Saccharomyces cerevisiae S288C: one gene and its partner. Changing the gene in region 1 together with any one later gene gives a genetic interaction. Each region holds a gene or a part of one and is shown in the gene's direction. Other genes may lie near its edges.

Region 1 (3,001 bases):
CAGAGGATCTTTCACCTACAAGCAGCAGGGTGGATTTGAGCAATCCTCATGGGTTTACCAAAGAGGGAGTGGATTTATCGAAGCTGTCACCACAAGAACTAAAATTGTATAAAATGTATGGGAAGCTTCCATCCAAAAAAGATCTGTTAAGACATAAGATGCAGGATCGTCAATATTTTGACAGCGGAGATTATGCATTGAAAAAGGCCGGAGTCATTAAGTCGGATGACGTTATCGTGAATAATTCTAGTAATAATCTACCAGTGACCAATCCTAGCGGTTTAAGAGAGTCTATTATTAGAAGACGTATGAGTAGTAGTAGTGGTGGCGATTCTATCTCGAGACAAGGAAGTATCTCAAGTGGACCTCCACCAAGATCTCCAAATAAATGACTAATGAAGGAATGATATTATGTGGTATTACTTTTTTTTTATCATCACTAGCTTCGGCTAAGCCCTTGCATTTTCAATATTCAATTACCAAATAATATATATATATATATATATATATGTATGTATGGTATACCTTGTGTTACTGATGTGTTTTTTGTTGACGTCATCCTTTTGATTTACTCACATGCTTAGTAAATGAAGGTTGTTGAGGCCTAAAAATCAGCTAAGATTTACACATCGATACTAATCATTGAACGCCCCTATGGGAACACTTAATTGAATAAATATCTGCCCAACTTGCTGAACATCAAAAACCCAAAAAAATAGAAATCTATAAAATACAACGCCAGTGACAACTGCGAGAAACATTGTGAGCAAGTGAACGCACTAAGGGCACCAATTACTAGACCTGGGAAAAAAACGGTTAAAGTGCCATCAAAGAACAACCACAGAACAATGTTTAATAAGCTCCATGCACCAGCTGCCTGCAAAGAGGAGGACCATTCAAGTTTCCTAATACCAAATATTAAGCCCAAAAGAGTATTGGCACATCTTATAAATGATCCTAGGGTGTTTTTGTAAACTGATGACCTGGTTTTTGGCTGGTGTTGATAACGAACGAAAGAGTCAATGAATGGTACTATGGAACCAAAGATAACACCTTCAGTACCAAATACAGCCCAATCAGGCACCATGTCAGGTTCCGCGACGATCTTGTTCTTAATTTCTATACCATGCTTTAAAAAGGATACGATATCTCCCTTTGCCAATTGGTCATTATCAAACAAACATTCTGATATCATGGGGAAGAGTATTCCTGCTATGAATAGAATAAAAAATGCAGCAATAGTATTGATTATTTTCGCATACAATGACCTTTCGTGTCTCGCAGTCGCGGATGGCGGAACCATTTCCAATTGAGAGGCGTTAGACAATAAAGCCTTGTCATAAACATTACCTTCATTCTTGGTAATATCGTCATCATAAAATGAAAACAAAGCGGGCTTAGTCAGCGTATTTATAGCTGTAAAACTTGCGCTTCCCAGCTTATTTCCCAAAGGTGGCAAAGCTGCCTCTTTCTTGGTATTATGGACACCATTAGGAACACCTCCAGTGTTTAATTGGTTCTTACTCTTCTTCTTGCCCATTAGTAACCTCCTCTGTTTAAATTTTTTTTTTCTCACTTGCTCTGAATACCAAAAGGTGAGTTTGGTGAAGAAATTTTGACACTTTTTCTTTTGCGCTGTATTTTGTAACAACGCATATTTTGAAGATATTCTAAATAAGAGAGATTGATTAATGAAGACAGAAGGAATAAAAAGCCCATCGGCAAAATACCATGATATGGCGGGCTCCCAGAGAATCCCTCACAAGAACCCGCACATTCAAAAAGTGGCTGTTTTGCAAAGTAAGCCCAATAAGGAAGATGCGCTAAATTTAATAAAGGAAATCGCACATAAAGTTTCCTATCTAATGAAGGAAAATCACTTCAAAGTGACCAACTTGGTGGAGTTTTACCCACGTGATCAAAGACTCCTGGGAATGAACGTCAACCATGGATCTAAGATAATGTTACGGTTAAGATGCTCCACGGATGAGTTCCAATTTTTACCCATGGAGTGTATAATGGGCACCATGCTGCACGAATTAACTCACAATTTATTCGGTCCACACGACAAAAAGTTCTACAATAAGCTAGATGAGTTGATTGGAAGGCAATGGGTTATTGAACAAAGAGGTTTGTACGACACATTTTTGGGGAACGGTCAACGTCTCGGTGGAAGAGCAAACTTACGTTCAAATAGATATCCTATGACAGGAATAAGTACTAACACAGGGATAGTGAGAAAAAGGGGCAAAGGTGTGAAGTTAGGGAGTTTGCATCCAGAGGGTATATCATCTATAGATAGAGGTAATTCCCCGAGAGAGTTGGCGGCTTTTGCAGCCGAAAGGAGATATAGAGATGATCGCTGGTGCGGAGAGACGAAGAATAACAAAGATCAAATAATAAGTGATAATATTAGCAGCTCCTTAGAAGTTGTAATCCTTGATGATGATGACGAGGTACTCCCGGGAGATACTCTTATCGAAGTTATTGATCTCACTTAATCTCTTGTCCACAGCGAAGAACTCGAAAATTATAAGTATGGTAAATGTCGTTTCGGTTGTAAAGTATACAGATATATTCACATTACAAAAAATGTAAGAAAGACGGTAGTCTTGCAAAAAATGTCATTTCTATATTTAGCAACAACCTAATTTTTGGAAAAAGCCCTTATGAGAAGCAGCTAGACTTGAATTATCGTCATTTGGGTGCTGTTCAGGAGTTCTTAAAGCAGCAGAAGGTTGTTGTTGTGGTTGATAACGAGCGCCAAACTGCTGAGATTGAGTTTGCGCTTGAGGCTGAGATGGAGGTTGGCCTGTTGCACGTAGCTGTTGCTGTTGCTGTTGCTGCTGTTGCAATTGTTGCTCTTGAAGTTGTTGCTCCTGAAGTTTTTGTTGCTGCTGTCTCTTTTGTTGTTCTTGCAGGTATTTCTGCTGGGTTTGATGCTGGTAAGCTTCATAAGAAGTAGGGTCTAACTTTGGTTTATATTGAGAATTGCGCATAT
Region 2 (3,398 bases), on another chromosome or scaffold:
TGCTAGTATTATGGAACCTCAGGCGGCTGATGCGGTTTCGACAATGGCGCCTATATCAATGATTGAAAGAAACATGAACAGAAACAGCAACATTTCTCCATCAACGCCCTCTGCAGTGTTGAATGATAGGCAAGAGATGCAAGATTCTATAAGTTCTCTAGGAAATCTGACAAAAGCAGCCTTGGAGAACAACGAACCAACGATAAGTTTACAAACATCACAGACAGAGAATGAAGACGATGCATCGCGGCAAGACATGACCTCAAAAATTAATAACGAAGCTGACCGAAGTTCTGTTTCTGCTGGTACCAGTAACATCGCTAAGCTTTTAGATCTTTCTACCAAAGGCAATCTGAACCTGATAGACATGAAACTGTTTCATCATTATTGCACAAAGGTCTGGCCTACGATTACAGCGGCCAAAGTTTCTGGGCCTGAAATATGGAGGGACTACATACCGGAGTTAGCATTTGACTATCCATTTTTAATGCACGCTTTGTTGGCATTCAGTGCCACCCATCTTTCGAGGACTGAAACTGGACTGGAGCAATACGTTTCATCTCACCGCCTAGACGCTCTGAGATTATTAAGAGAAGCTGTTTTAGAAATATCTGAGAATAACACCGATGCGCTAGTTGCCAGCGCCCTGATACTAATCATGGACTCGTTAGCAAATGCTAGTGGTAACGGCACTGTAGGAAACCAAAGTTTGAATAGCATGTCACCAAGCGCTTGGATCTTTCATGTCAAAGGTGCTGCAACAATTTTAACCGCTGTGTGGCCTTTGAGTGAAAGATCTAAATTTCATAACATTATATCTGTTGATCTTAGCGATTTAGGCGATGTCATTAACCCTGATGTTGGAACAATTACTGAATTGGTATGTTTTGATGAAAGTATTGCCGATTTGTATCCTGTCGGCTTAGATTCGCCATATTTGATAACACTAGCTTATTTAGATAAATTGCACCGTGAAAAAAACCAGGGTGATTTTATTCTGCGGGTATTTACATTTCCAGCATTGCTAGACAAGACATTCCTGGCATTACTGATGACAGGTGATTTAGGTGCAATGAGAATTATGAGATCATATTATAAACTACTTCGAGGATTTGCCACAGAGGTCAAGGATAAAGTCTGGTTTCTCGAAGGAGTCACGCAGGTGCTGCCTCAAGATGTTGACGAATACAGTGGAGGTGGTGGTATGCATATGATGCTAGATTTCCTCGGTGGCGGATTACCATCGATGACAACAACAAATTTCTCTGATTTTTCGTTATGATAGAAAATTTAAAAGTGCAGAATATTCGAAATAGATTCCCAAAAAAAAAAAAAGGGATATTGTGTTACCCAGTTCACAATGGAATTTTCTAGAAGAAAAAACAAAGAAGCCTCGCAACAAACCAAGATGGATTCAAAATGCCTACTTACCGCATTGTATGTGGGAGAATGAACATATCTGTAATTGTATTATATAAAAGTAGTTAGTTTTTTTTTTTTTTTTTTTTTTTTTTTTTTTTTATGTGTAATGCAAATACAAAAAGAACTGCAGGCATTTTGAAAGTTCACTCGTATAGGAAACTTTGATAGAGAGGCAATTCCTTACTTTCGTTATTCCTTTCAGTCTTATTCTTAATCGTTTATAGTAGCAACAATATATCAATATGGTCGTGAATAACCCAAATAACTGGCACTGGGTCGATAAGAACTGCATCGGATGGGCCAAGGAGTATTTCAAACAGAAACTGGTTGGAGTGGAGGCCGGTTCGGTGAAGGATAAAAAGTATGCCAAAATCAAGTCTGTTTCGTCCATTGAAGGTGATTGTGAAGTTAATCAGCGTAAGGGGAAGGTTATATCTTTGTTTGATTTGAAAATCACGGTGTTAATAGAGGGACACGTGGACTCTAAGGACGGATCGGCATTGCCATTCGAGGGTAGCATTAACGTTCCTGAAGTTGCCTTCGATAGCGAGGCCTCAAGCTATCAATTTGACATATCTATATTTAAGGAGACTAGCGAATTGAGTGAAGCCAAGCCACTAATTAGATCCGAGTTATTGCCCAAGTTGAGACAAATTTTCCAACAATTTGGCAAGGATTTGCTGGCCACCCATGGTAATGACATTCAGGTGCCCGAATCTCAGGTGAAATCTAACTACACAAGAGGTAACCAAAAAAGTAGCTTTACCGAAATCAAGGACTCCGCTTCAAAGCCAAAAAAGAATGCACTTCCCTCTTCTACTTCAACTTCAGCACCAGTCTCCAGCACCAACAAAGTCCCCCAAAACGGAAGCGGCAATAGTACATCTATTTATTTAGAACCAACTTTTAATGTGCCTTCCTCCGAGCTCTACGAAACGTTCCTTGATAAGCAACGCATATTGGCCTGGACCAGATCAGCACAATTTTTCAACAGCGGACCGAAGCTGGAGACCAAAGAAAAATTCGAGCTCTTTGGCGGCAACGTGATCAGCGAGTTGGTTTCATGCGAAAAGGACAAGAAACTTGTTTTCCACTGGAAACTCAAGGATTGGTCTGCCCCTTTCAACTCTACTATCGAAATGACTTTCCATGAGTCGCAAGAATTCCATGAAACCAAATTACAGGTGAAGTGGACTGGCATACCCGTTGGCGAGGAAGATCGCGTGCGCGCTAATTTTGAAGAATACTACGTGCGTTCTATTAAATTGACATTCGGCTTTGGTGCCGTATTATAAGATATATTGTTCTCATGTTTCAATAAAAGTATGCGTAAATATTTACATACCACTATTGGCATAGATAGAATGCAATACATCATGTAGTTCTGTACGGCATCCGCGCGGCTCCGATCGCCCGTCCTACTTTTGCGGCCCGGCGCCGACGGCCTCCCCGGAATTTACCAACGAAGAGGAAAATAAACTGGAGTTATAACGCCATTGGCGGGAAACTCCGAAACCATAGCGCCGTGGTCTTTCCCCGGTTTTTTGGCGCCGGGTGTGCTTGCGTTGTGTGAACGGCGCCCTGGCAGCTGAGGGGGAAGGGAAACGCCGGAGGCGACGGCAAGGATGACCATGGCGTCAAGGAACATGCGGAACATGCTAGAATGATTGCCGAAAGGGCGGGCCCTAGTCAATGGCATCATGCGGGAACGTGCAGTAAAGCTCAATGTAACTTGATGCCTATCGGCGTTGTTCGAGCTAAGGACGATGTGATAGACTGAGGAAGGGTGAACGTCGATAGTTAGCCGTTGTGAACTAAATAAAAGTGATATTTTTTCGTTGTTCTTTTCTTGGTTTGGCGGTGTTTTCATTTGTTTTCATGTTTTACTTCGCCACAGGTTTTCAAAGAACAACGCCTTAAAAATAGGAAAACGTTTTCGCTACAGGTGTTGTTATTATTGTTGTTGTGCTGTTGTT

Evidence for each region.
Region 2: mutations in WSS1 (region 1) and AHA1 together harm fitness more than expected from each alone (negative genetic interaction), as found in Saccharomyces cerevisiae (2 studies listed by BioGRID).

What each region holds. Positions count from the first base shown.
Region 1 is NC_001140.6:370,058-373,058, forward strand, and holds WSS1 (metalloendopeptidase WSS1), read left to right. Parts: upstream 1-1,691; coding exon 1,692-2,501; downstream 2,502-3,001. Other genes in the region: IGO2 (phosphatase regulator), read left to right, coding at 1-392; NSG1 (Nsg1p), read right to left, coding at 665-1,540; serine/threonine protein kinase YCK1, read right to left, coding at 2,637-3,001. UniProt on the Saccharomyces cerevisiae protein: Metalloendopeptidase that acts selectively on DNA-binding proteins. DNA is needed to bring the protease and substrates together to enable proteolysis.
Region 2 is NC_001136.10:891,211-894,608, forward strand, and holds AHA1 (Aha1p), read left to right. Parts: upstream 1-1,664; coding exon 1,665-2,717; downstream 2,718-3,398. Other genes in the region: UPC2 (Upc2p), read left to right, coding at 1-1,282; YDR215C (uncharacterized protein), read right to left, coding at 2,879-3,292. UniProt on the Saccharomyces cerevisiae protein: Co-chaperone that binds to the molecular chaperone HSP82 and stimulates its ATPase activity.